Linked DNA regions of Oryzias latipes. The protein of the gene in region 1 purifies or fractionates together with the protein of each later gene. This does not show direct contact. Links are inferred from orthologs where the notes say so. Each region holds a gene or a part of one and is shown in the gene's direction. Other genes may lie near its edges. The genes, in order: hnrnpu, gtf2f1, rpl18, hnrnpa3, dap3, eftud2 and snw1.

Region 1 (4,097 bases):
GTTTCTGCAGACCACCAGTAGTTTTTCAGAAATTCACCTCTGAGTTGTGGACAGAACTGATGAAGTCTTCCCTCATTTCCAGTCATCCATTTGTTACATGCTCTCCCACTAGCTTACAGCCCCTCGCAACCCAACCTAACGTCAGGTTGCAACAACAATGGCAGGCAATATTGGAGCTATCCAGCAGTACAGTTTTAAGCCAGATGCCAGCTCAGACGAGGAAAAGAAAGACGTACACAGATCTAGCCGTCTACAGGTTCATGCGTCAGAATGGAGCAGAGCAGGAAGCTTGTGGCCAGACAACTGTAGCATCAGAGCTACAAGCTTTTTTAGACTGGATTTCTTTTCTATTCCTGATTCACAACTTTGAATAAAGAAATACTCAGAACTGAATTTTCTTTATATATGTCCTCCATCATTAGAAAATTCATTCATCTTCCTCTGTTTATCCCTTTTGGAGTCACGGGGCTGCTGTAGCCTATCCCGGCCACTTATGGGCGAAGGCAGGGGACTCCCTGGACAGGTCGCCAGTCTGTCGCTGGGTCACACATTTCACACACCCACATTCACACCTATGGACAATTTAGAGTGACCTATGAAGCATGTTTTTGGATGGTGGGTGGAAGCTGGAGTCACCGGAGAAAACCCACACATGCACGGGGAGAACATGCAAACTCCACACAGAAAGGTCCCCCATTGATGTTCTGTTTCAGGTCCCCCAGCCGGACTTGAACCAGGGGCCTTCTTGCTGTGAGGCAAGAGCGCTAAACACTACACCACAGTGCAGCCCATCATCATTGGAAAATGCTTAAAGAAAATTTTAAAAACACATAAAAGAAAAGCATGCTTTTCAATGGAGTGGGTCTTTGATAAGAAAAGTTGGGAGATAAAATTCAATAATTCTGCTGCCATGCACAGTGGTGGAAGTGTAGTCATGAGGTGACTAAGTACCAACATTCCAAAGAGAGTTCATAATAAAAGACCAAAGCTGCAAAGGAAATTTCCATTGAAACTGGTATTAAATTTCAACATTAACTGTAGTTTGTCCCGTTTTGTTGCTGAGGCCCAAATTAAGCTGTCATTTAAAAAAGGAAACTTTTTTTCTCTTTTTTAGCAAATAAGTGGACAATATTTCTCTGCAATAATGTATAATGTGTTTGTAAGATAAGTATAGATGTTTTCTTGTGTGACAGTAGCAGATGGCAGGTTTACCAGAAGAGGGAAAAAACCCGCTGCGCCATTTATTCAGTGATTACGGTAGGAGAGAGGCCGTCCTCCTCCCCTCCCCACTCAACCGCCGTTTCAGCGCAGCTCTCCGCCGGCGAAGACTTCTCGGACAGCGGGTGCTATTTTGGCGCAGTTTCCTGTCTATAGGCGTTCAGTTATTTATTTATCGTCGATTTTTTAAAAACTGTTTGTACTCTTGCATTCAAAATGAGCACAATTAACGTGAAAAAGCTGAAAGTGAACGAGCTGAAAGACGAGCTGAAGAAGCGTAATCTGTCGGACAAGGGGCTGAAGGCCGAGCTGATGGACCGCCTGCAGGCCGCGCTCGACGAGGAGGCCCTGGTCGGGGATTCTTCTGCGGCCCAGGAGGGATCGGAGGAGGAAACCCTCGAACAGGCCGCCGAACAGGAGGTGATGGGAGAGGAAGAGGAAGGCGACGGCCCGATAGAAGAGAGCATGGAGGCTAATGAGGAAGAACAGGATAATGATAATGGGGACGAGGGCAATGGCGTAGCGGATGACGAAGACATGGGTGAGGGGGAAGAAGGCGACGAAGACGACGAGATGCTGAAGGGAGATGTGGACGACATGGAAAAAATTGACACGGAGGATGGTGAGCCCGGGGAGCAAGCTGCTGAGGGTGAGTCTGGTGAAGTGATGCTGAAAAGGTGGCTGGCTGAATGGACTGTGGCTGGCTGTTTTTTTTTTTCGGGGGCTGGTTGCGAAGATTTTAGCGCGTTACCAAGGAGCGTCCATGTTGAACACGGCGGCGTGATTCAAGCTAGTTAGCATTAGCAGCTAGCATCGGTCACCTCCTCTTAGTTAATCGTTTTGTAACTCTAATTACGCGTTACCATATTCTCTCAGGCACGTTTTAAAGAGTCGTTTCAAAAACACAATTTAAAGTTTAGTAATAGTTTTAATTAAATTTATATGCCGAGAACCGTCCTTTTTGGTTGACCTTTAAGCTTTTTCTTTCGATTTTGTAAGGTGTGTTAGCTTGTCAGCTAGCGCGATTTCCTTTGTTTCTGGTGTAGTGCTAACAAGCTAATTTAGCAGGGTTAGCCATTTCAGATTTTCCCTTCCTGTTAAGACATAAAGGGGGAATTTGCAAGCCACAAATCTTGTATCTTACTGTCATTTGTACAATCTCACTGGAATTACTTTTGAAACATTTCATTTCCCAGTCTGCACAAATAAAATAAACAGGAGAATATCTGCGATGGCTAACCCCAAATTTAAATAGTGGTAGCTCAGCTGGTTCTGCTGCTTTTGTTTAGCTAGTTTTTTTTGTCGTGGTTTTTCTGTTTAATAAAGGTTCCAAAATCATACAGTGTAACAAATGGGGAGGTAGTTTAAAACCATATCTAAATAGCCTTACTTGCATGATTTATTTATCCCCCTTAAACAGTAAACTTTCCCTTATAAGTTAATCAAACCCCATTGACAATGGTGTATTTTTCAGACTTTTATTTCGCCCCCACAAAGCATCACTCATTTATTTTATAATTTTTGGCCAGTTTATTGTTTAACTACCTGGTCTTAAAAGCTGTCATAACCATTTGATTGTACTGTATTTTCAGTGTAAGTATAGTGCTGCCTCTTTGAACATTCATATGAATTATGATGGACACAATGTAACTAATGAACGGGCTTTGTGGGCCAGAACCCCACTGCTAGTCCGACCTCTCTCTCTGTCTCAAAAAGGAGCACCTCATTCTATATCTTTGTTCTATTTTCAAAGGGGATGCGGACAAAGACACGAATGCTGATCAGAAGAATAAGAAGGGTGTTAAGAGACGCCGGGAGGAACATGGAAGGGGCTACTTTGAATTTATTGAAGAGAACAAATACAGCTGGTAAGGATGGGACAGAGCAAAATGGCCTTCAGCATCCCTGAAGCGCCATCCATAGCTTTGTTGGATTGTATTGGCTTTAAGTGCCAATGCACACATTTCTAGCAAGAGGAAAACCCTCTGTTTTTTTGTTTAAAATAAAAAGTATTCTCTTATTTAATAACTTTCACACATGTGTTTTCAGGGTCATCCCTGACTACCTAAAGAGCCTTACCATTTACTCTACAATGCCCACTCACATAGCGTCTTTAATGGACTGCATTCTGTAGCAGAAGTGCATCTGTGACTTTTCACATCTGTTCCTCATGCCACTTATTGTTTTGTTTCTTTTGGAAAAGCCCGTTGTGTCCTTAAGGTGAATGGAGGCTACTCTAAGCAAAACCCACAGAGGGAAATAGCAGGTGTACACTTTTTCAAAAGGAGGGGTGGGTTGAGGAAAGTAGCCGAGGGGTCTGAAAGAAAGTAGCACACAAGGATTTAGGAGATTTAAAGAAAAAAATCAAGATTATTGGAGCGTCCACGGAGGAGCTTCGGTAGTGATCGTCCATGTTTTTTCGGAGTGTTCTGCCTTTTTGTTGTTGTTTTCTCTCTATCACACTCTTGTTGCTGTTTCTGTATCATGTTTGTGTAAAATGTCATGTTGTGTGCGTTTGGAAGAGTTTTTATACCCCGCGTTCTGTGACCTCATGCATGGCTTGCAAGGGAGTTCCAGTGTGAGTGTGAACATGAACTTACTTTTTTTGGTCACGTGTGTTGTTTTCATTGCACTACCTGGACGCTGAAGATCGATGGGCACAGCATCAAAAATGTTGGCTGTTTTATTTATTTTTAAATTGTGATCACTTATTTCTGGTTGTGTTAATCCAGGAAAGTCACTTCCTGCTTCTCCAAATTGTCCACTTGACGTTTTTAGGGATTTATCAGTTTAATCTTTGCCCATATTTTCCCTTCTAAACAACATAACCTGCTTTCAAAATAATCTAAAATAATTTTTAAGCTTTAAGGACCTTTGTG
Region 2 (4,414 bases), on another chromosome or scaffold:
AAGGGGTTATGCAGACACTGTTTTTTAAATTACTTTACATGCCACATGAGGGGATGTGGATGCTGCACCTCCTCCAATACTTTTTGATACTTTTTGAGAGCAGAAGAAAATGTTGGCTGACACGGAACTGTGCAAAACATCCTCATTATGTAGAACCAAAACTGCGAAATACAAATGAGAAAGAAATGTACCTATTTATAAATAATAAATGTGAATAATAATTTGAGTATAAATGGAAATATAAGCATTTATACACTTCTTATTCTATTATTTTGTATGTTCATAATTTTAAAATGAGTACATTTATTTTATTTGTCATTAATAAATTAGAACCTTTATTTCCTACTTGTATTTGGCAGTTTTGATTCTCCATATTCCATGCCAATGCAAGATTTTAAGACACATTGTTGAAAAAGTCAGACTACCAGACTGTCTATAACAGATAAACAGCAGTTTCTATACTGACGTAAACCGGAAAATGCAGAACGCACTAAATATGTGTTAGCAAAACAATTAAACAATACAATAACGTGAGTTAAACATTTATCAGCCATCACCGTTGTCGTTATTTAATCTTCTCTTCGCCGTTTTGGAAGGTCCTGTCTGACCTCATCCAGGAAACTTGGGTATCAGAATTATTTTAGAGTTTTCCATTGGAAATTACAACAAACGGGGTCGTTTATGTGCAAACTTCACCTGTCTTTCTAACTTTACCGAACTTCGGATCAATTAGTATTTTAAATCGCGAATGCACAGAAATACTGGATAATGTAAAAAATATGGCCCCATCATCCTCCAAACTTACCTTGTGATTGATGCTGAAGTTGTTCATCTTTTTTCAGCTCCTGATGGATAAAGTCTCTTTGGCATGAAGTGCTCTTGTTGTCGCTTTGATCAGCGTGACAAAATGAGCTATTTTTTTTTCTTTTCTCAACTTTATTGAAACAAAATGCGCTCGTAAATGCACACTGTGCCAGGCTCAGATGCAGTGATGTTGGCCAATCGTTGCTGAGAGTGGCGTAACGTCATTATTTGGGTTGCCAGATTGGTTCAGGTTTGTTGACAAGGGGGATCATTAAAGTGCAGCCAACTTTCTTTTGCACAACATTCACAGCTATGAAATAGGTTGCCAGATTTGGGTCTTTTTTTTATTTTATTTTTTCGCCACTTCGGGGCCCTGGTGATGTGGGGGCCCTACGCGGCTGCGTAATTCGCGTATAGGGAGGGCCGGCCATGATCACAGATTAATTGTCAAATTGTAAAAATTGTGAATGGCATTTACACTTTCCTTTCCTTACATTCAGGTGCACTCAAGCATAATCGGCTCTTAACACTGTGTTCACAGCCTAATCATTATTTTTTAAAGGAAACAATTAATTTAATTACTTTTTTAAATAATGTTTTACTTTTTTAATAAAGTTTTTATAAATTTTAAACTACATTTCAGGGAAACAAATTTAATTTATATGTTTTTCTTTGTTGGTAAGTCTGTTTTTACTTATTAGTTTGATTTTTTTTTCTTTCATTCCAGTTACTGTCTGCATTTTCAATAGGAACTATTTGTGACGTGCCAAGGTTTCCTGTCGACCGTAAAAAGTGACGGAACGATTACGCTGCAACAACGCGCACCTCACCGGTACACCAGTAGTAGTGTTTTACTCTCGGAGATGCGGGGCTTTTTCTTTTAAAAAAAACAACAACACTATTTTTGTATTTCATTTTCCTTTTATGCATCTTCACTCGGTCTGAAGTTGGACTAAAACGACCATATGAGCTCGTTTATCGTGCTGGAGATCTAATGATCTAATCAGAGCTAACCATTGAAATCTCTACGACCGGGTTGGTGAGACTCAGCATTCATTGTTATTTTCTTTCACAATAAAACCAGTTTTCGGTGATTGTTTGCTTTCGAACATTTGTTTTTTTCTAACCCGTCTATAAAACTAGTTTTGTAATAAACGTAATCATATTTTTACACATTATGAAAATGGCCGACATGATCATGTTGCACTAAACATTAGTGAAATACCTGCTAAAATGTCCTTTCTTTTTCTGTAAACCCTTAATAGCTCCAGTGAAGTGTTGGCAAATCCAGAAGTTGTTGATAAACAATCATGACATCTCTGGTAAGTTCTGACTTTTTTTTAATGATTATTTTTATTATTATTAACATGTAAAATGTTTTCGTTTCATTTAAGCTATTTTAGCCCGGCAGCTTCCGGTTACAGCAGGAAAGAAAACTTTATTAATCTGCGCTACAGAAGACAATGTTACACGAATTTATCAGTGGAGACTAATTGTAAAGCCTGAGTTGCATGCAGGCAAAAACTCATTCAATCAGAAGGTCGCTGATCTTATAGCAAAACCTTTTTTTAATAGAAATTCCACATTATTTGTTTGTTTGTTTGTTTGTTTACCATCTTCCAGGGGGGCAGCAGTGCTTCGACTACAGAATACACAGTGAGAGTCCCCAAGTGAGTAAATGAAAGCAGTAATGTGTTAGTAATGTTGACCATAACACAGAAATGACACCGTTATCCTTTGAAATAGTAATGTTTTGCATCATTCTGCCCTAAATTTGTCAACGTGTTACTTGACTCCGCCTTGCAAAAACAACTCTTTTTATTTTTTTATTTATTTTCTTGCCCCATAGAAATACAAGCAAGAAGTACAACATCATGGCTTTTAATTCTGGAGACAAAGTCAACTGTTCGGCCTGGACACAGGTGGGCTTCATGTCTTCTTTTTTGCTCCAGTAAAGTAAATCTATATTTTAAATTTGGTTATAATTAAAAACAATAAGATCTCTTAAAACATCCTTAGGAATTCAGAAATTTGTGACAAAATACAAGGGAGTACGGATTAATAAAGCAACTGCGTTTTATGACATATGTGGTACTAATGATGTTTTTTTAAATGTATTTTTTGTATTGAAATGTGGTGCCTCTTGGCCAGGTCTCCCTTGGAAACGAGATTTCTAATCTCGATGGGACTTCCCTTGTTTGATAAAAGTTCTAAAAAAAAAAAAGGTATTAAGTTAAATATCCTGCTTTGTCACTCCCCCAGGCTCGCATGGAACGCGACCTGAGTGCTCGGCGAATATATGGCGAGGAGGAGTTACCAGAGGGAGGGGCAGGGAGCGAGTTTGGCAAAAAGCAGCGCGAGGAAGCGCGGCGGAAGAAGTATGGCATTGTGACCAGAGAGTTCAAGGTGGAGGATCAGCCGTGGATTTTAAAGGTCAACGGAAAAGCAGGAAAAAGGTAAAGCGATAAATGTTTCTATTTTTGAAACTTAAGTACATTTTTTTTTTTTAATTTACCTGCAGGCTTTCTTGAAGTTATGACTTTTTTTTCTTCAAATAAAGAAAATCAATAAACCATATTTATTTAACCGTTGTAGAAAATGAGCAAATACGTCTTCGTACTGAGTAAGATTTGGTGTAATCCTCACCAATTTTTAACAAAATCTGTTGGTGTGTTTTTTATTTTTCCTAAAATGTTTATTGCAGCAAGATTCTCCTATGATTCCAGTTCTACAATCTTCAGTCTGGCTATAATATTTGTCTTTCTGCATCAGGTTCAAAGGTATAAAGAAGGGCGGCGTGACAGAAAATGCATCCTACTACATCTTTACGCAGTGTCCTGATGGAGCCTTCGAGGCTTTCCCCGTTCACGGCTGGTACAACTTCACGCCGGTGGCGAAGCACCGAACTCTGACTGCAGAGGAAGCTGAGGAGGAGTGGGGCAGGTTAGCAGAGCAGCAAGCTGGACTTGGAGAATGCCTTTTGTGTTTTAAAAGTCATTTCCTTCTTTGTCCAGGCGGAACAAGGTGGTGAATCACTTCAGCATCATGCTTCAGAGACGCCTCCGGGAACAGGAGCGGGGCGAGGAGGATGACGATGACGCCGACAAACCCGGAAAGAAGAAAAAGAAAGGGGGCGGGAAGGGTGGAGATTTGCGAATTCATGATCTGGATGAAGACCTGGAGATGAGCAGCGACGACAGCGACAACAGCATGGGAGATGGTAAGGATCCATGCAGCAGGCTCCAGAACTGTCAGGGCGCTCAGCCCCTTCCTCCAAACGTCTGTCAGCTCATTTTCCTCACCTGCAGCTTCCGTCTCTTCTTCGTTTGCAGATGGAGAAAACAAAGCAAAGGCAAAGAAAGACAAAGCCAAAGGGAAAGCAAAGAAAAAGAAACAAAAGAGCAATGAGAAGGATGCCCTGGAAGACAGCGATGATGGAGACTATGAGGGTCTAGAGGTGGATTATATGTCAGATGAAAGCAGGTGGGCTCCTCAGCGTATTTACCACATATACATATTAAAGAAAGAACATGTTTTTATTTGGTCTTTTTAGAAGAACAAGTCTGCATTTTTGATTTTCTACGTTCTTTGAATTCAAACTAAAGCTAAA
Region 3 (4,291 bases), on another chromosome or scaffold:
AAGAAGATCAGATCTGGATATAACACTCAGTAATGCTGGCAAAGTGGCACAAACAATCATTTGCACTGAGTGAGGCTTGGTGCAGCGCTTAACTAGACTGTGAGTGATTGAAAACAGAGTCAGATGTGAGGCATCCAGGAAGTGTGCCTGGGGGTTGCTGGGAGATGAAGTGCATTCAGTACTCTGGAGAGGGTTCCCGCCGGTGACCACAGGGAGAGACAGAGCTCTAACTTCTGACATTATATGTCAATCAAAATCTTTATTTTTGTAAAATGCAATGAAATACGGATAATAGCCCTTCTATAAAGAAGATAGCAGTCACCATTTAGTAAGAAAAGAATGATGATAAAATCAATTCTTGTTTTTTTCCACAAAATCCCTATTTTGATGGCCTGTAATTATAGAATATCATATGTAACTTCAATTTTTCATGACATTTTTTCCCTTTGTTTCACCTTAGGGCATCAACTTCGTATTCGTTCCTCCTGTGGCACGGACAGTCTTCCTAGGAGGTGTTGCTCTGACGTTCACAATCTTTCTTTGCCACTTCAAACAGCAGCAGAATCAGTGACCCGAACAAGCCACACAAACTCCTGATACAAGGTTTAGATCTGGTCCCTTTGATTGATCAGATCTCAAAAAAGAAAAAAAGGGGTTGATTTGTGTACAACATGAAATGTATTAAACTTTGTTGCATTTCTAAAAATGTAAAATTTCTGACTTTATTTAAAGTGTACAAAATTTCGTTTTTGAGCAATAAAGGAAGGTATAAAGCCCTCCACTATTAAACAAATCATAAATCCACAAAAGGTCTGGATTGATCATTTTGCATAAGAAGTTTTTTGTATAATATTTTCTCCCAACAACACAATACATGTTTAATAAAATGAAGTTAAATCACATGCCACGCCATCCTGGGGAAACCTATTAGCTTTGCCAATTTTATTGACATTTCCTTCGTTTTTAAGTAATAAAATAATTTGTTTATTCAATTCATAAAAACAATTAACGTCGTGGAAAAGAAACATGACCAACAGACAAATACAATTCTCTTTAATACTGACCATAAAATACTCTTTTCTGTTTAACTTTTTCTTCACTTTTTTGATTTTCCTTTTTGCTGAAAAAGCATGTGCATCTCTGTGAAGAACGTTGAACTGTCTGTATGTAAGAAAGTGCTGAAGAAATAAAGATGCATTGACTTTGCCACAGTTTGTTTAAATAAATAAAAAAATCTAACACTGATGTTGACCTTATTGCCAGAAGTTAGATGTGAAGTATAGAACAAAGATAAGTTCAATAAAAAGTTGTTCACATTAAAATGTGATAATTTATTAGATCAAATTGCTTTAATAAAAGTTCAGCAAAAGTTCAGCAAATATACAAGGATGCTCAATGTAATGATGAGTCCCGCCACTTGGGGCAGCATCAGCAATGACCTCAACTACTTTTTTGCAGGTTGGCAGGAAGCGCGTACTTTAGAACCAATCAGATGCTCGAGATTTCGGCCGCGTGTGTTATCGCGAGAACTTTGAACTTCCTTTTCCCTTTTCGCTCTGAATCCAAGATGGTAGGTACCTCAAGACAGATTGAATACCCCGGTATCCGCATTAATCCTTTGAATTCAGCCATCCTTTCTCCACAATAAAATCCAAAATACGTTTTGATAGAAAACAGTATTCCAGTTGAGTTACGATTTTTGATTTAACCGATCACAATGTGATTAGATAATCAATTGGTTAGCTATCGAACTACTCGTTGCTGTAACATTTTTTAAACGTTTGCGCTAAAAGGTAGTCTATACGCACACACAAAACTACAGTCTTTTCTAGTTTACTCTCTAGTCCGGTATAGTCCCTTTAGATTTGTACTGGTTGGTTAACTTAAAAGAAATTCTAATTTTTTTTTGTTGCTGTTAGCTTTAGTTAGCTGCTAAACGCGTTGACCGGTGTCTGTTTGCTGTATTGCAAACCTTGTGTGTATAGCTGTATAAATTGACGCAAGATCTGTTTTGACTGTGTTTATGTGTACTGATAAAACGCGAAATTGTTATTAAATGAAATTAACATACGTGCATTCTTACTTACGTATGTTTATACAACTAGTTGATTATGCTAAAGATGTATATTTTTTTTGTTTTTTTCCTGTAGGGCGTAGACATCAGACACAACAAGGACCGCAAGGTGCACAGGAAGGAGCCAAAGAGCCAGGATATCTACCTGAGGCTCCTGGTTAAGGTAAATAACGCTCTCACAGCATCTCCTTTCAGAAGTTGTCTCAGCTGCTAGGGTGGTTCTGTAATTTAGCTTCTCAGTATTGTTAAAACTTTCATAGTTTGTAGTAGTTCAAATTAAACATCTTCTGTGTTGTCCTCTCACACATCAACCACACTCATGTCAGCCTCTGAACCACATCTCTTCCTCTTGACCTTCTTAGCAGCGCAAACATGGCATCTGTTTCCCAACCTTTGAGCTAACTAGATTCCCTCCATATAACGGAAATAGTTTACATAAGCTGCTCCTCTGTATTTATTGATGATTCTGTCCATCCCCATCACTTCCACAGAGAACATCAGCATCTTTAGCTCTACCTTTACCTAAAACCCCTGCCTCCAGTTTTATCTGTTTTTAGTAATATAATGTGGATTTTTCTTTCTTTCTGACAGTTGTACAGGTTCTTGTCTCGCCGTACCAATGCTCCTTTCAACAAGGTGGTTCTGAAGAGGTTGTTCATGAGCAGGACCAACAGGCCTCCTATCGCAATCTCCCGTCTGGTCAGTCAGTGAGCCAGTTTACTTTTCCTGATCTCACAAAAGATCTAAGTTGTTGTTCTGTGCTGGGTTTATCAGGTGTTTTACTGAAGAACAAAAGTACCTACTTTGTACTTTTATCAATCAAGCTTATTTGTTTTACTTAATTTGTCTTTTTTTGTTTTACTGAATTTGTCTTTTTTTGTAGTAGTAGTGTCTAAATTCCATAAGTAAATTTTATTTTATATTTCACTGGTTACAACAGTCTAGGTACTGTATAAACGTTTGTTATATTTTTACCCACACTAAATGATTTTTAATCTAAATATGACATTAGGGAATAACTTCCTTTCACTTTTTAGCCTATAGTTCTGATGTCATAAGGTTGTTATAACGTTTGTGTTTTGCTGTTTAGCCTTCCCATTCCCAACAGAAGCACATTAACTTCAACGCTTTTAGGCTTGATTGAAAATAGTTTTTAAATGTACAGTCAAATTTTATGGTCACCTGATTTTAGTTTATGTGCCATGAGATGTTTAGTCACAAAATATAAGTAACAGCTCTTATTGGTCTATTGCTTCCACACTAGATTCGTAAAATGAAACTTCCTGGCCGTGATAATAAAATCGCTGTTGTCGTGGGAACAGTCACTGATGATGTCAGGATTCAGGAGATCCCCAAACTCAAGGCAAGTAGTCTGATGTTTCAATATATTTGTACCCTCACTTTTGTTTACCAGCTCACAGCTTTTATTCACAACCTTCTAAAATGGGGCCTTTTGTTTTCTGCCACACAGATCTGCGCTCTGAAAGTAACTGATGGTGCACGTCGCAGGATTCTTAAATCAGGGGGACAAGTGATGACCTTTGACCAGCTGGCTTTGGCCACTCCCAAAGGACACGGCACAGTGCTGCTGTCAGGTACATGAGGTTTTAATAATTTAAATAAAAACTTAATGTTATCAGAAAAGTAAAAAAAAAATAGAATTGGAAAATTCGTGTTGTTGTTTGCTATATTTTTGTTCTAATAGTTATTAGGGAAAACATTCACTATAGTTGGACCATTTTCACTCTTAAGCAGTATAAGATTTTTTCTTGTCAAAAGAACAAATGTTAGCGTTTGTGAGACAAATTAATGCCAATATCTGGTGCAAATGTTTACAATCAAGAGATTTTAGGAAGTTTGATTGAATCCATAGGAAATAGAGAGGCTGTTCTGAAAACTTAAGGGACAATGAGCTGTTATTGTGTGACTATAATAAAAATGCTGTTTGCTGTGCAGGACCCCGCAAAGCCAGAGAGGTTTACAGGCACTTTGGAAAGGCCACTGGAACCCCTCACAGCCACACCAAGTAAGTTGACCCCTAAATACTTTTTAGTCACTGAAGATTGATTTTCAGATCCTTTTTAAAAGCAGCTGATTATTCAGATATTGAATCTTTCACACACACCTCAAATCCATTATCTTAAAATGATCGTAAATCATAAGATCATATGAATCATAAATATGTAACTCTTCTAAATTATTTTTTTAAGAAGTGGA
Region 4 (3,461 bases), on another chromosome or scaffold:
CCGGGCTACAGAGGAGGTGGAGGCGGCGGCTATGGGGGAGGTGGTCCAGGATATGGCAACCAGGGTGGAGGATTTGGTGGCAACTGTGACGGAGGTTATGGAGGCAATAGTGGAGGTAAATATGCTCTTATTTCCAAGTCATGAACATATGAAACTTGATATGTTTTGTTTGTTTATAATAAATGTTTGCATTGGATTTTTAGGTTATGGAGGTGGTGGAAATTACAATGACTTTGGAAATTATGGGGGGCAGCAGTCGAACTATGGGCCCATGAAAGGAGGTAACTTTGGTGGCAGGAACTCTGGTGGACCCTATAGTGGTGAGAAGCTCCAATATTTTTGGTATTGTCTTCAATGACAACAACTGACACAATTTCCTGAGATGCAAATAAAATAGGACTTTTTATAATAAGGATCCACACTTCACTTTAAAAAGTGCTTCAGTTTAACTGTGTGCTGCAACAAATAAAGCATGATTTAAAGTAGCATAAACTAACATTGGGGAGCAGGATAATTACACTGAGCTGGTTCAATCCTCTGACTAATGATAGATTTTTTGAGTTAATAACATATGTGGCTCCTTAAAATACATATTTGCCTAGTCTGCGGTTACATGTGCAAAATGTCTTTGATCGGATCAAAGATCAGGTTAGAATTGAACTGTGTACATAGTCCCAGAAAAACTTTATCCGATTATCACACTGTTTACATACACCATACTTTTGATCCTCTAAAATACCAGAACGCAGTAGAAGAAGAAATAGCGAGTTCTGTTGTAAACAAACAAAGCTACAGCATAGAGCGAGATGATCTTCAAAGTGTGCTTTTGTTATTGTTATGATTACTATTAAGTGCTTTCTAAATTCATGTGACCAGTGCTGTATTCTTGGCTGCACGAACCCGGAAGAAGAGTTAGGATTAATCTATTATCTGCCTACAGCATTTGGCCGTGCATGAACTTAAAATCCATGCGGGCAATGCCGCAATGTGTATATGTGGCAATGACATCAGCCTTTACTTTGTCTGGACATGATTGGAAAAACAAATCCATGCGATTATTTGCTCGTTTCTCAGGACTGCTCGGAGCGGCATTTCTGCTTTAAAAAGCTGCTTCCGCCAGCTGACACACCTTCTGAAAGCCGCTCCTCTGCTCGGAGACACGTATCTCCTGAGTCCAGCAGCTCGCTCATGCAGAGCAGCCGGACGGACTACAAAGCTTTCTCCGGAGCGCACACCGTAACAAAGCACCCTCCCCTACCCGCACAAACCTACGAGTCCGGCTGCTCTGCGTAGAGACATGGTTTGCTCCCGCGGAGCAGCCGGCCGGTCCTGTTAGCGCTCCAAAGCCTCTGGAGCGCCACACCATCTACGCATGACAGAAAAGCCAGCAGTAGTGACCCACAATCGGAATAAATTGTTTACATGCACCACGATTGAATCAACAATCGGCACAACCCTCCTATCTCGATCGGAAGGAAATATTGATCCGAATGAGGCTGATCGGTGCAGAGTATTCCGAACGGCGTGTTTACATGACACATTCTTATTCTGATCAGGCATTTATTCCGATTACTTTTGTCCATGTAACTGCAGCTACTGACAGTTTTATTTCTATGTACCCCTTTGATATAATTTGTCTCAGCAGTGTAGTTTCCCCTGAGGGAATAATAAAGATATTTTTCACTCCAAATTGCAGGTGGTTATGGCTCTGGGAGTGGCGGTGGCGGCGGCGGCGGTGGTTATGGCTCACGGCGGTATTAATTCTTGGTTGTTTTGGTAAGTAGCGTTCAGTCTGGCAGCAGCCTCGAAGCACAGTTCAGAGTGAGCCCATGAAAGTGCAGATTAACTATTTGTCTTATCCTGTATCCATTCAACAGGCTTCAGTTCTTAGCAGGAGAGGCGAGGAGGTGAGCAAAGGAGTTGTCAGGAAAGCTGCAGGTTACTTTGAGGCAGTCATCTGAAAGCAGTAGAGGAACACAGAAGTCAGACATTACTGCAGCTTATCCAAGAAGTGTATGGAAGGAGGACTGTATGAACAAGACATGAGTGCAGACGATGTCCTTTCCTATTTCTCCTAGATGTGAACCTAATGAGGAAGTTTTCCTTTCTGTGTCTGAATTGTGTGTATTGTGCCTATTGGATCAGGGGTAAATTTTCTTTCTTTTCTTTCTTTTTTTAAGTCCTACATATTTTTGTTTAAATTTTTTATATTGGTTAGTTTTATCATAATGACCAGTTAAACATACATTTTTGATCTTAGCAACTGTCAGATAGCATAGTTATAAAAGGCCCTTCAAAAGCCAGAAGTAGTTGTTTCTTCCCTCCTAATTTATTATTTCCGAATTGCAAGTGTCAAGTGTGTATTGATTTGTATGTAAAAGCACAGTGTGTAACTTTTTCATAGTGTCAGTGTCAACAGAAATAAACAGCTTAGATTAGAACTAAGGGAATCCCGCACTTCTCATTTCTTCCATTGAAACAGATTCCAGATTGTTCCCGTATTTTTGGTTAGTGAAAGAAACGACTGAATAAAGTTGTTTAGTAAAGTAACACAAGATTCAGTGCATCATTGGTTCGGAAAAAAAGCATGCATGCTCATTGTGACTGTGGTTAGCATATCAGCCTTTTCTGACTTGTCCCAAATTTGGGATTGTTATGAAAAACATGATGGTGTCTGTTCATATGTGCAATATTCTGTGCTTTCACGGATACCGTCGCCATTTTAAAAGGGAGGTTTGAATAGTTCCAGGGAAGGGCCCCGAGTGCAGCTTTGCCAGTGTTGAGAAGGTAGGAGTATGAGAACCACAAGCTCCTGCAGTTTGGCCCTCAGCGTCGCTAGTGTGGAGGATGACAATCAGACAGGACGACTTCAGCCCCAGCACAGTGGACCAGTCAGCATTTTGAGAGAGAAGGGAGAAGGCAGCATCGAGCGCAACGGCCATGGAAGGAAGTTTGCAGTGTCATGCCTGGTAGTGAGCATCTGTCTTTTTCCAAGGCTAGCTAAACTCCAGCAGCTGGTTCTCGCCAAGAAAGACTAGGTCCTGGACTCACTGAAGATCCTGTTTAGTGAGATACAGCAGTTTAACCTGCAAATACTAGATGTCAGACATTGAACAAGAAAAGGGAGCCAATATTTCACAAAAGCTGACTTGAGAAGATGGATCAGGTAAGAGTAACCACTTTGCTTGATTTACAGATGTGGATTTGGGCATTCTCTTCTTGCCGAAAATCTGTAAAGACCTGATAACTTGGAAAGTTCTGGATGGGTAAGACTTTTTTTTTTTTTTTTTGTAAATATTTTTCAAGGTTGAATGTTGATTATGTACTGTGTGGTAAGGCGTACAGGGAAATAGACTTAAGGTGAGAATGGGAGGGTTCTTAAGTCGTCATTCAGGTTCTTTGAATGACCAAATTTTCAATTTCAATTTTCAAAGGTGATTTAGAAACATTCTGTACAAAGG
Region 5 (3,690 bases), on another chromosome or scaffold:
TTGCTGGGGAATTTTTACCTGATATAATTTACCCAACATGAGGACTTGTCATAAAAAATAGATCAAAACATGACATCAAATGATAAATTGGAGGGGTTTTCTTTTATTTTCAACTGTGGTTGAAAACATAGGAAGTTCCTAAAAACACGCTCTAAATTCCTGAAAAACTAGGAATTTGAGAACAAAATATTCCTAAAAAGTAATAAAACGATACTAGAAACTTAATCTTTGTCCACCCATTCCTGGGACCTGTGAGACTTACCTGGTGAAGGCACAGACTTCTTGACACGCGGCATGTTGAAATTCATGTAAATAGTTTTGTGCGGGTAAAAATCACCCGGCGATAGTGTTCTAGGGTAAAACTATTTCTGAAAGTGTTTTTGAAGATTGTGTTCTTTTTAGATAAAAATTAAGCAGCGCTACGTGTGGACAAAGAGGGAAAGCACAGAAGAGGGGCGTCCACTTGGGGAACTTGTGGATCAAGTAGGTGCAAAAATGTTCACCAACTTTCCCCATTTAACTAAAGCGTTTGGGCATGTTTGTTTGTCTTTGTCTTGTCGTGTGTTAACGTTATAATGTCAAATGTTTCATTTTGGTGTCTGTTATGAGTGGTGTTGAGTGGGGGATTGGTTTCCTATAAGCTTAAGCGGTTTCCAATCCCCTTTCAAATCTAATTTTCAAAGTCTTGCATTGATTTATTTTATGTAATTGTTGTTTTGATTTGAAATAAAACATATTTGAATTTGAACTTCACGATTTGTGTCACAGCAAAGCTAAAGAAAACTTTTGGAATTATGGGAATTCTCAAATGTCTAACAGTTGAATGTTGGAATATATCAATTCAAGTGTTTGGTGGCTACATTTTTAATCAGGGCACAAGTAAGCTCCTCTTTTCCTAATTTAAACTTTGTTTCCTGAATCTAATTCTCAATTTTCCTGATTTTTTTTTTTTTGTTTGTTTTTGTTATGTTCCCGACACTGCTGTTGGATTTCCCTTTCATAATTGACAGTGATCCCCCTGCTGGTGTTTGTTTTGCTGCAGGGCACATCCCGTGTGAAGAGCAGCAGTGATGTGGTAGCAGCCGTGATGAAGGAGCTTAGGCTGCAAAGCGGGCATCCCGAGAGCAACTTCCGATTGGCTGTGGCAGTGGATGGTGTCAATGCCCTTTGGGGAAAGTCTACTATTAAGAAGGAGGATAAGAGCGCTGTGAGAAAACACATTCTCAGTGCTGTTGTGCATCGAACACAGTGTTTTTTGTTAAGATAAAAAGTCTGATGTTATATATTTATTCTCCCTAATATCAGGTGGATCCAGAAGAACTCACACTGGTCTATAACCTGAGGAAGTTGTTAAAAAATGACTGGGTTAGTAGAACACAGCTTCAAAAAGTTGCTTAAAGCCCCACTCTGATCATCTTTTTTGCTTTTTCAAAGTGTTCCTGGTGGTCTTTTAATTATGATATCCATTTTTGGGCTAAATCTCAAAACCTTTGTTGTTTTTTTAGAACATAGTTTCTGCAGAGCGGCAGCGACAGCCCCAACTTAACATTAACGGTGCAACAAAAATGGTGAAAATTATTGGAGATATCTTCCTTACAGTTTTGAGCCAGATACCAGCACAGAAGAGGAAAACGGAGACGGACATGGATTGATTTGTCTACAAGGGGATGCATCAGAATGGAGTGGAGCAGGGAGCCTTTGGCCTGCCCTGTGTCTTTTCTACATAACATATATGCTCTTTTTCAAACAGCTTTTTTTGTTTGCTTGCTCCAGATTGACAACAATTAAAAAAAAAACCTCAGCAAAGCAATTTTAAGCTTAATATTCGTTATATATGTCTTCCATTATCAGAAAAATGCCACAGGAACATGTTGAAAAAACACAATGTCCATGATAGTGGGTCTTTAAGAGTACTTTTTTTGTGTGTGTGTTTTTTGTTAATTTTTCTGTCCTTTCACGCAGATTGGAGGGGCCATCATCACCACTCTGTCTCAGACGGGGTCTCTTTACACTCCAAAGTCTGCTTACTTACCTCAGGAGCTCCTGGGAGAGGTTAGATCATATTTACCTTTAAAGCCCAACAGTTTGTCTGCTTTTAAAAATCCTTTATTGCTTCTAAAGCATAATTCTTTTTTACCTGCAGTCAGAAAATTAAAGATCAAATACTCTTTGTTGTTTGAGAGCAAAACCATGTCAATAATCATAAACATTCTTTTTTTCTCTCCAGTATTTGTTTCTTTTGTAAGAGATTGTTTTCATTAAGTAAGGAGTTGTGCTTCCTGCACAGCATCACTTAACTTAATGGACCTGTCAATCCATCCTTGTCAACCACATTCTTTTACTTTGCTCTTGACTGCAATGATATCATCGTACTAAAAGCAAGGTCAACCCCCCCAAGAGTATGTGTGGGCTTGACTCTAAATTGAATCTCTCTAATGCACAGCTTCCTATTTAATATATTCATTATTGATTTCTTTCTTCTGTGCATCTGAACTCTAGATATATCTGTTTTTGCACTTGCTTGAATTGTCTGAAAGGATGTGTTGTGCTCTATACTGTTCTTCTAAATGATGCTGAATTGTTGATCAGTGCATGTTGGGTACTGCAGTCTTGCTACAGCAGGTCCAGTGTTTGGCCCTTAAACGTGCTGTGCTTTACTCACCAGAGGGGGTTTGACAGCATGGATCCCTTCATCCCTCTGTCAGTTCCCAACTACAGCGAGAAGGAGTTTGAGAGTTGTTACCTTTACTATACAGAGCGTAACTGGCTGCAGCATCCACAGAGTAAGTGATGAAATAAGGTAATATGGCAATATTTATTTGTCATTTTATTTTCATGTCTTGGTTTCCTTGTTTCCATCAGGTCGAACAGAGGAAGGGAAGAAAGAGCTCATCTTCCTGAGCAACAGGAATCCAACCATGTTTGACAGACTCTGCGGCTTCTTATAAAGCCATGCTTTTCACAGAAGTAAACATGTAAATGTCGCTGTATGGGTATAAACGCATATGCATTCAGACATCTATGTCTTCATGCAACATCTATGTCACTGTGTTTTATAAATCATTACATTTGTTTATTAATAAAATATTTAAGGAAAATGTCTTGCTTGATTTATTAAGAAGGTAAACGGTCAAAATTTGACTTAACCGAAAATATATTTAGTGTTAAAGAGCAAAAATTTACATTTGCATTAGCCTCAAATGAGCAAAGGTGTATGATAGTCTGTTTCACTGCTTCTTTTTAAAAACAAACAAAAAAACTGCGTCCCTGTTCATTTATAAAGGTTTTTAGTTAATTTTGGATTTTTTAAAATGTTTGACTTTATCAATATATTTATAAAGGGCAAATCATTGTCTGAACTCTCATTCTGTGTAAATATTTAGTTATTAATTAGTTACTGCATAAACCTTGTTTTCATACATGTTACTTTGTATTCAGGGGACAACAAATGTCTTCCTATTTGACAGAAATACATAGTACAATTTTTTTTACTTAAGTTTTATTTTTGTTGCATAAAAAAATAAATTATATATATATATATATATATATATATATATATATATATATATATATATATATATATATATATATATATATATATATATATATAATTCATGGGACATTACAATTTTACACGATGATTATTTTTACATCTATATTTGTTTTATACATGCACTTAAAATGCTATGG
Region 6 (3,664 bases), on another chromosome or scaffold:
ATCTCTGTGGCCAGGTTTGCTTCCACGTTTACTGAATTTTGTTTGGAAATCCGCAACCTGAGTGTTGCGTAAGAAATGGTAACGTCTGACACCTTTACAGGTACCAAATTGAGGTGAATCGAGTGCCAGCAGGAAACTGGGTGCTTATCGAAGGCTGTGACCAGCCGATCGTGAAGACGGCCACAATCACAGAACCCAGAGGGAACGAAGAGGTGAGAGGTCAACAGAAAATATCACTGTGGGTCTTCAAAGGTTTCAGCCATATCAAGTTTTTGCTGATTTACCTCCCTCTGCCAGGCTCAAATCTTCAGGCCATTAAAGTTCAACACAGCATCGGTTATCAAGATCGCAGTGGAGCCGGTGAACCCGTCAGAGCTGCCGAAAATGTTGGACGGCCTGAGGAAGGTCAACAAGAGCTACCCTTCCCTGACCACAAAGGTGAGTCTGACATGTTTTTGGTTCATTCGCTGCTGAACAGCTAAAACACCACCTGGTTGTGTTCCAGGTGGAAGAGTCTGGAGAGCATGTTATCCTAGGAACTGGAGAGCTGTACCTGGACTGTGTGATGCACGACCTGAGGAAGATGTACTCTGAGATCGACATTAAAGTAAGGAAATTAACACCTGCTTTAAACTTTGTTAACTCTTTAAAGACCTACTCTGATGAAAACTGTGTTTTTAACACGTTCTTGTGGCATTTTTCTGACGATGAAGGACATATGTAAAGCAAATGAAGCTCAAAATTCAATTTTTGGGTATTTTCTTCAAATCGTTAATCAGGAAGATACGAAAAAATGCTGTTTGAAAAAGATGGTAATCACTGGGCAAAATTCACTGGGCAAAATTCACTGGGCGGGCCACAAGCTCTGCTCCATTCTGATGCATCCACTTGCCAAATAGATTCATTTAGGTCTTCATTTTCCGGGTTGGCATAAGGCTTAAAACTGTACGGCTGGATAGTTCCAATTTTGTCAACTACTGCCGCTCTGCAGAAACTATGTTCCAGAAAACGACAGGTTTTTTTATTTGGGCTAAAAACGTCACAATCATGATTAAAAAACCACTGCAAATGCTTTTAAAAAAAGATAAAAAAAAGATGAGCGGATTTGGACTCTAACACTAGAGATGTCACTTAAACAACACACACTCGTTGACATACCAGAACTTGCCAATCTACGAGTGTCAACTGATTCCGGTGCGTAGAAAAGCGGCGTTTCCCATCGCCTTTGTGGAGTTGTAACGTAAAGTGTTGCATATTGATGCAAGGCTGCTTATCTTCGCTTCAGAATTCTCTAAATTTCCGTTAATTGCGGTCGAAGAGTTACAGTGGTCTAAGGAATGTCAGTACTGGAGTTAAAGCTCGGATGTGAAAGGCTTAAGAACTCCAGAAGTAAACTAGCTGGAAAAAGTCTGAAGGATGTAATGCTGTTGTGTTAATGTTGTGGAACAACTTGTACATCTGCTGTGTTTGCTCACAGGTTGCAGACCCGGTCGTCACGTTCTGTGAAACCGTTGTGGAGACATCGTCTCTGAAGTGCTTTGCCGAGACGCCAAACAAAAAGTATGGCTCAACATGACATGTTTATATTCAGCTCTGTTCCGGGCTCGTTTGAAGCGTTCATTTGTGTGTTGGAGCGCTTAGTCTGGACTCCTCTCGCTGTCCGAAGTCTTCGTCTCTCTGTCCTTCCCCCTGGCTCCGAGCCTCTGCAGGCTGAGTGACATCTGTGTGATGTGATTGACAGGAACAAGATCACCATGATTGCAGAGCCCTTGGAGAAGGGACTCGCGGAGGACATCGAGAACGAAGTGGTGCAGATCACGTGGAACAGGTAGGAATGTGAAGACGCCTCCATCAGTCACTTCTTAATTAAACACAAGCCACATAATGTGCCTTTATGGTAAATTTGCCTGTTACTTTGATGTCAGCACATTCATTTATCCATCATTTCCCTTTTGCTGGGTTAAATAAGATTTGTCTCTTTAATTAAATTTAGTCATGGAAGAAGGTAGAGTTAAAAGGCTTTTTCAATGGACTAATTATTGGATGTGGACATTGCTCTCAGATCTGTAGGTCTGTACTTTCTGATGAGTCTCATTTGGAAATGGCACATGGAGGTGACAGCCATATTTTTATTCATTAAATCAATTATCAAAGTAATCATGAGTTTCTAAATTAATTTCTGCAGAAGTGCAGGAAAGGGAAAGCCCTCCAACGTGTCATGAAAAATCTGTCCTTATGAAAACTCACCTTGGCATATTGATCAGCCCCTCCCCTCGGTAATTGAATTATGCACTAAGAGCCTGCATGAATTTCCCATCCCTCTTGCATGCTTGGATGCTGCAGACAGGCTTCCTGTCTGAGAGGCCATCTGGACCCAGCAGGACCAACCTGCAGCAGCAGGGCTACAGGAGCGACACACTTCACACACCACCCCTTCTCTCCCATTAACCCCTCTGCCCCTCCATTCAGCCAATCTCCTTAATGTTCCAGCTTGCACACTGTGCACGTCTCCTCCCAACGAGCGTTTGTACTGTTTCTTCGCCACAGGAAAAAGCTGGGGGAGTTTTTCCAGACAAAGTACGACTGGGATCTGCTGGCTGCAAGGTCCATCTGGGCCTTTGGACCGGACACAACAGGACCCAACATTCTCGTGGACGACACGCTGCCGTCAGAGGTACGACGCCCGCTGGCTGCTGGTTTGAACTGCAGGTTCTATCTGATCCAAGAGCAGCAACAAATGTCTTTTTTTTTATCTGAGCAAATCTGTTTTTAACCCTTAATCAGTGGTGTGCAGCCTTTTCCAGGCCATGGCACAGTTTTGCCGTCTCATATAATATTTTCACGTATCGGTCTTTTAAAGCTCCAGTTTTCTTAACCTTTGAGGGTGAAAATCTATCTACAGCTGATTTAAAAATTAAATTAGATTTAAAATGTGATGCTGTAGCCTTCAACCTCATCCGGCTTTTAAGGTGCAAGGGATAAATGCAAGAATAAAAGAAAAAACGGTCACTACAACTGGCAATTTTTTCTTAATATATACGTAAATGTGAATCCACCGTATTAGCAATTTTATTAGCATCTTTCTAACATTAGAAGACAGCCGTTTGGAGAATATTATGCAGGAAAGACAACTGGTTTTTGTCTGGTAAAGGCAGCTTGCTTTTATTTTGAAGTCATCTCCTTTCTGCCAAAAGAAACTTTCCAAATACGTTTTTTATTTTTTGACTTTGCTAGCTGGGGGGTTTCTATTTAGCGGTGGGGGCAGCGGCTTTAATAAAGTACTGCTACTTGACATGTGCCTAGAATCTGTTGGATGTGGTGGGGAGAGTCCAGCAGTTTTCAGTAAAACTTCCCTCAGAATAAAATTATAAATAAAACAGAAAATATGTAGGTTGGGTGTTTTTTTTTTTTTTTTCTTTCTTTCCAGTCTGATACCAGCTGTCCCACGAAACAGGAACGGTCCCCTGGCCTGGGGGCCGTTGCTCTAAACCATAAATTCATGTGAAGGTTTCCGATTTAAATCTACTTTAAAGAACAAATGAGAACTCATAACATAAAAGATGACATAAAAGTTGCATTTTTTTATATGAAACCATGGAGCTCTTTAGCTACAGCTCATTCTCGTTAAAGGATTTTAGCGGGGTCTGTTGTTGTGCAGCTGTTG
Region 7 (4,387 bases), about 9.6 Mb from region 1:
ATTTTGTGTCAGGATTTGAAATTGTTGGTTTCGAGGTAACCCTGATCCCTAATTTCAGAAAAAAATGTTCAAACTTTTCTGCTAAATTTCAGGGATACCTGTGCAAAAGTGTAAATCAACCCCATTGTTTCCTGATCGCATTTGTTTATAATTTCAAGTTATACCAAAGAGAACAAAATCCTGATAAATATGGGATCCAAAATGAAGAGGAACAAACTTAATGAAATCAAGAGACAACATTCGCTGGTGGGAAATAAAAATAAGGCAAAGAATTTCATTGATTTTGAGGATTCGTGTCTCTGCACGACAGCAGTGCAAACTGCTAGATATCTTAGAAAAACCTTATTGACAGATCACAGGCTTTAATATACATTTAGGCTTTAAGATTGACAGAAAAAGGATTTAGACTCGCAACATCTGCATGAAAGCAGGATATGAAATCACTTATCCATGAGTGGACTTAATAAGGTGGCTACCTGTTTTCTATTAGATCCTAAGGGATTTCCTTCTGTTTCAGCAAAAGTTCTCTGGCAGTCTGAGTCTCTTCCTGAATATGAATGATACTTTTTATTAAATATGAAAACAATCCAAAGGAAATGGAGGAAGTTTCCATCCACCAAAAAAAAATCCTCTTTTGAAGTAACAAAATATGTATCTGAAGTATCCTTATGTAATTTATAAAAACATTTATGCATTTTTTTTATTCAAGCATATCATTCTTTTATTCTGTCATCCTTGTTTTTTTATAAAATTATTATTTTTCTATTGTTGTTTTTTGTGTAATTTAAATGTTGCTTTAACTTCTTAACTTTACCTTTGACTCCCGTGTTTCTTCATTGGGAACCTGGCCTGCTGAGTCCAGGGCAGGGATCTGCAACCTGAGGCTATGGAGCCACATGTCCATCCATTGTGGCTCTAAGGTTTAAAAAAAAAAAGGGAATGATTTGAAGAAATTATAAATGTGAAGTTTGGAACAAAATAATAATAAGAGTTGTAGTGTACTGTCTGAGTGTTTTTTGTTTTGTTTTTTTCAAATAAGCCTTAAAGCTCTTTTTCTGATCCTCTGCGCCACAACACTGTGTAGTTGCTGTTCAGAGACAAAGTTCTTATAGTTTATAAGTTATGATGCAGCCAGAAGATCTTATTTGGTACAGGGTGTAATTTATTTTTAAAGGAATTTGGATAAGCGGCCGTCAGAAGTAAAGCAAGTCCAAATTTGTATGCATAGAAAATATAAAGGCTGTGTTATTTCAATTATTTTAAATATTTAATAACTTTATTTTATAGATGAATAGATGATTGGCCAATACAACATATAGGGTTTTTTAATAATTAGAAAAAAATGTGGGAAGCACAAGTGTATGTATAAAGTTTCGTGTTTTTTTCATTGGGTGGGTGAAAGCCTGTTTTTTGTGTGCATTGGCTTTTATTATGTAATTAACTTAACAAGTTAACATAACAAATAAAATGTTGTAAAACGAGTATGTACTTTTATTTTATTTTGTTTTTATCGAACTGGACATGGTTTGATATGTATTAGAGCTTAGAATTGTCAAACCTGGCAACCTTCTTCTCTTTTTCGCTTACGGCCTGTTCTTGCGCATGCTCACTTCATAGTTCAGGAAGAAAGGAAAATGTCTCTGACGAGGTAAGTCTCTAAGTGAGGCCTTTTGGCGAATAAGGCACAAAATGCGATCGGAGTTTCTGTCTGTGTTTGTTATACATTTATTTGGTTTAATATTAAACGTTAAATATTTAGTTAAACTTTAAACGTTTCGCTCTTTTCTGTGTTTATGATGTTAGCTAATGCTAGCTAGTGCTAACTAGTGAGACGGGGTTAGCATTAGCTTGTACCCTCAAACGACCGTTTCTGAAGTTAGCTTGTTTGTTTAATCTATTACTTAAACACATGTATTTGATATCGTGTTAAATAAACCTCTTTACCTGCATTAACGTTTCAGGTTTGCAGTTTTTGTTCCTGCTACTTTGACGTCGTTTCACGCTGATCCGCGTTTACAGCGACTTGCTAAGTTGTCTTTAAACTGCATTATGTGGACCTGTTTTGCACAGCTATTTACCGGCACCGACCCAGCTGTCTCAGGACCAGCTGGAAGCAGAAGAGCGGATTCGGACCCAGAAATCCTATTCCACTGCGCTGGTTGCGTCCCGTAAAGAACCCCCTCCTTACGGACACAGAAAAGGCTGGGTTCCGCGTGCATTTGAGGTGCACTTCAATGGATTACACATTGGTTCACTGCCTAGTTTCGCATTTCTACAAAACATTCTGGGTGTTCCTAGGACTTCGGAGATGGCGGGGCTTTTCCAGAGATTCACGTGGCCCAGTTTCCTCTGGAGATGGGCAGGAAGAAGAAGACCTCTAACGCCCTGGCAGTTCAAGTGGACGCAGAAGGGAAAATCAAATATGATGCCATTGCCAGACAAGGACAGGCTAAGGATAAGGTACTTGAGCTTTTCCTCTTTCTGGCAGTCAGTGAGGAGCTTTAAAACCCTATTCTTGCTCTTAGTGTCCACAAATACATGAGAGGTTCTGACTTCTTGGTTCTATTCCTATCAGACACGGCTGTGTTTTATTTGTATTTTTTCACATAAAAAAGAACCAACAAGTCAGTTAATAATACAAGACACGATGAACTTTATCAAACTAACATGAGAGGTTCATTATATGACTTGACAGATTCTAAATTGACCTCTAAAAGTCCAGCTGAAGAACCGATGTTCTGGATGACAGAATCTCCACAGAAATGTGGGACCTAATCTTAACTTTGGTAATACAGCTTGGTTTGGTTGTCATTTAAAAAAAATGCACACTATAGTGTTTTGTTTTTTGTAAAAACCATGTTTGATCCTTACATTTCTATTGGTGTTCATACACGACACTCCAGACGCATGTGGGAGGAGCTACCGCCAAACGGTTTTAGCCTCATTGCTGCAGACAGGGATGATGTTGAGATATCACGTTTTTCTACTTTGAAGAGCTCTACAAAAATGTCGATAGGCACGTCTCCATGTCTTGATCAATGAGATCATCCAGAGACTCCCACATCTGCTCCTGAAAGGGAAACCCAGTTTGACGACTTTCTGTTCTGCATTCAGGACCTTTTTTTGTGTGTCTTGATCCACTTATAACATCTTCAACGCATCCCGGTCCGAAGAGGAGTCCCTGATTGGTTGACGCGGCGCATCTTGTTTGCCGAAGTTCATATTTTTGAACTCTTGACGCACCGCAACAGCCAAAAAAGCGCGCGGCTGCCAGACTGGTGTGCAGCTCCAAAATCAAATCTGATTGCTTCTTTACGTTAAGCTAACATTAAAACTGGACACTCCTAATGCGCAAATGGCATTTAGTGTAAACGCAGCTTTACACAATCTATCCTATTCTATGAGTCTGCATGTTTTGCCATATTGGTAAATTTTGAGTGAGATTATTTCTATAATTTTCTTCTTGATTTTTGTAGGTGATTTACAGCAAGTACACTGATCTGCTCCCAAAAGAAGTTCTTAATGAAGACGCTTCAGGCCTTCAGAAGCCGGATGAGGAGGCTGTAGAAGAGGTAATTTGCTGCTCGGGCTCGTGCAGACATTCAGGATTCATTCATCCGATTTGGTGAAATTGTCTTTCAGCGTGCCCTTACTTATTGTTTTTAATTACTGTAAGCATGTGTAGTTTCTCATGGTTGGGGATGGATGCTCTTTGCAGTTGACTGAGAAGACTCGGGCCGCTCTACAAAAGCAGGTGTCGCAAAAGATTGCTGCAGCCATGCCTGTCCGGGCCGCCGACAAACTCGCTCCTGCACAATATATCAGGTAGCAATTTACCTGAATCATAAACAGTACTTCTATTTTAGATCGAGGACTTCTTTGTTGTTCCATCAGATCCTCTTGGATTTTGCAATCACACCAGTTCACATGAATTCAACCAATTCTTGCGACGTTTTTGCCCAATTACTTTTGCCAGCTGCTCTTATTTTAAACACTTTCTCCACCAATCAAGCGTAGAGGCTGAAGCATAAACATCTCTTGTCTAATCGAACATGCTTACTTCTGGAACTATATCAAACAACAAAAGGAAGTATTGAACAGTCGGTCTATCACAACATTTTGCAAATATTGAAGCTGGAAGTTTCCTTCAACGTTGCGTTGAAGCACCAGCGAGTCGATGATTGACGAGAACCTTTCCACCTGACGTTTGCAGAAAACGACTGAAAGTTGTGTAGAGAGTATATGGAGATGTTGATTTACCCTTCATGGGGTTAAATAAAATCCCCTTCAATAAACAACTTTTCAAATATTTCTCCTCCTACAGCTTTTGGTGGAGAACTATTATTATATAATATCACAGCTTTAGGCATTTTGTGCCTCAGCAATC

Evidence for each region.
Region 2: the proteins of hnrnpu (region 1) and gtf2f1 purify together in Homo sapiens (affinity purification with western blotting; 3 studies listed by BioGRID, with this or other methods). This does not show direct contact. The link is inferred for Oryzias latipes from reciprocal best matches to the Homo sapiens genes HNRNPU and GTF2F1.
Region 3: the proteins of hnrnpu (region 1) and rpl18 fractionate together in Homo sapiens (co-fractionation; 3 studies listed by BioGRID and IntAct, with this or other methods). This does not show direct contact. The link is inferred for Oryzias latipes from reciprocal best matches to the Homo sapiens genes HNRNPU and RPL18.
Region 4: the proteins of hnrnpu (region 1) and hnrnpa3 fractionate together in Homo sapiens (co-fractionation; 3 studies listed by BioGRID, with this or other methods). This does not show direct contact. The link is inferred for Oryzias latipes from reciprocal best matches to the Homo sapiens genes HNRNPU and HNRNPA3.
Region 5: the proteins of hnrnpu (region 1) and dap3 purify together in Homo sapiens (affinity purification with mass spectrometry; 3 studies listed by BioGRID and IntAct, with this or other methods). This does not show direct contact. The link is inferred for Oryzias latipes from reciprocal best matches to the Homo sapiens genes HNRNPU and DAP3.
Region 6: the proteins of hnrnpu (region 1) and eftud2 fractionate together in Homo sapiens (co-fractionation; 3 studies listed by BioGRID, with this or other methods). This does not show direct contact. The link is inferred for Oryzias latipes from reciprocal best matches to the Homo sapiens genes HNRNPU and EFTUD2.
Region 7: the proteins of hnrnpu (region 1) and snw1 purify together in Homo sapiens (affinity purification with mass spectrometry; 3 studies listed by BioGRID and IntAct, with this or other methods). This does not show direct contact. The link is inferred for Oryzias latipes from reciprocal best matches to the Homo sapiens genes HNRNPU and SNW1.

What each region holds. Positions count from the first base shown.
Region 1 is NC_019882.2:13,245,054-13,249,150, reverse strand, and holds the start of hnrnpu (heterogeneous nuclear ribonucleoprotein U), read left to right. Parts: upstream 1-1,272; 5' UTR 1,273-1,434; coding exon 1,435-1,867; intron 1,868-2,971; coding exon 2,972-3,086; intron 3,087-4,097. UniProt on the Homo sapiens protein: DNA- and RNA-binding protein involved in several cellular processes such as nuclear chromatin organization, telomere-length regulation, transcription, mRNA alternative splicing and stability, Xist-mediated transcriptional silencing and mitotic cell progression.
Region 2 is NC_019866.2:14,106,105-14,110,518, forward strand, and holds the start of gtf2f1 (general transcription factor IIF subunit 1), read left to right. Parts: upstream 1-1,576; 5' UTR 1,577-1,843; intron 1,844-2,069; 5' UTR 2,070-2,114; coding exon 2,115-2,126; intron 2,127-2,427; coding exon 2,428-2,474; intron 2,475-2,653; coding exon 2,654-2,726; intron 2,727-3,066; coding exon 3,067-3,260; intron 3,261-3,576; coding exon 3,577-3,747; intron 3,748-3,818; coding exon 3,819-4,024; intron 4,025-4,136; coding exon 4,137-4,287; intron 4,288-4,414. UniProt on the Homo sapiens protein: TFIIF is a general transcription initiation factor that binds to RNA polymerase II and helps to recruit it to the initiation complex in collaboration with TFIIB. It promotes transcription elongation.
Region 3 is NC_019874.2:19,290,447-19,294,737, forward strand, and holds the start of rpl18 (60S ribosomal protein L18), read left to right. Parts: upstream 1-1,471; 5' UTR 1,472-1,492; coding exon 1,493-1,570; intron 1,571-2,150; coding exon 2,151-2,237; intron 2,238-2,665; coding exon 2,666-2,773; intron 2,774-3,338; coding exon 3,339-3,669; intron 3,670-4,030; coding exon 4,031-4,100; intron 4,101-4,291. Other genes in the region: mpv17-like protein, read left to right, coding at 461-571.
Region 4 is NC_019879.2:22,672,584-22,676,044, forward strand, and holds part of hnrnpa3 (heterogeneous nuclear ribonucleoprotein A3), read left to right. Parts: coding exon 1-115; intron 116-203; coding exon 204-320; intron 321-1,696; coding exon 1,697-1,761; 3' UTR 1,762-1,776; intron 1,777-1,877; exon of another isoform or gene 1,878-3,196; 3' UTR 3,197-3,461. UniProt on the Homo sapiens protein: Plays a role in cytoplasmic trafficking of RNA. Binds to the cis-acting response element, A2RE. May be involved in pre-mRNA splicing.
Region 5 is NC_019874.2:18,822,696-18,826,385, forward strand, and holds the end of dap3 (28S ribosomal protein S29, mitochondrial), read left to right. Parts: intron 1-402; coding exon 403-483; intron 484-1,042; coding exon 1,043-1,207; intron 1,208-1,305; coding exon 1,306-1,365; intron 1,366-1,962; coding exon 1,963-2,052; intron 2,053-2,665; coding exon 2,666-2,783; intron 2,784-2,862; coding exon 2,863-2,948; 3' UTR 2,949-3,098; downstream 3,099-3,690. UniProt on the Homo sapiens protein: As a component of the mitochondrial small ribosomal subunit, it plays a role in the translation of mitochondrial mRNAs. Involved in mediating interferon-gamma-induced cell death. Displays GTPase activity in vitro.
Region 6 is NC_019866.2:5,481,935-5,485,598, reverse strand, and holds part of eftud2 (116 kDa U5 small nuclear ribonucleoprotein component), read left to right. Parts: coding exon 1-14; intron 15-100; coding exon 101-212; intron 213-297; coding exon 298-438; intron 439-505; coding exon 506-607; intron 608-1,477; coding exon 1,478-1,560; intron 1,561-1,741; coding exon 1,742-1,828; intron 1,829-2,547; coding exon 2,548-2,674; intron 2,675-3,664. UniProt on the Homo sapiens protein: Required for pre-mRNA splicing as component of the spliceosome, including pre-catalytic, catalytic and post-catalytic spliceosomal complexes. Component of the U5 snRNP and the U4/U6-U5 tri-snRNP complex, a building block of the spliceosome.
Region 7 is NC_019882.2:3,678,742-3,683,128, reverse strand, and holds the start of snw1 (SNW domain-containing protein 1), read left to right. Parts: upstream 1-1,521; 5' UTR 1,522-1,634; coding exon 1,635-1,648; intron 1,649-2,070; coding exon 2,071-2,224; intron 2,225-2,298; coding exon 2,299-2,460; intron 2,461-3,476; coding exon 3,477-3,572; intron 3,573-3,718; coding exon 3,719-3,825; intron 3,826-4,387. UniProt on the Homo sapiens protein: Involved in pre-mRNA splicing as component of the spliceosome. As a component of the minor spliceosome, involved in the splicing of U12-type introns in pre-mRNAs.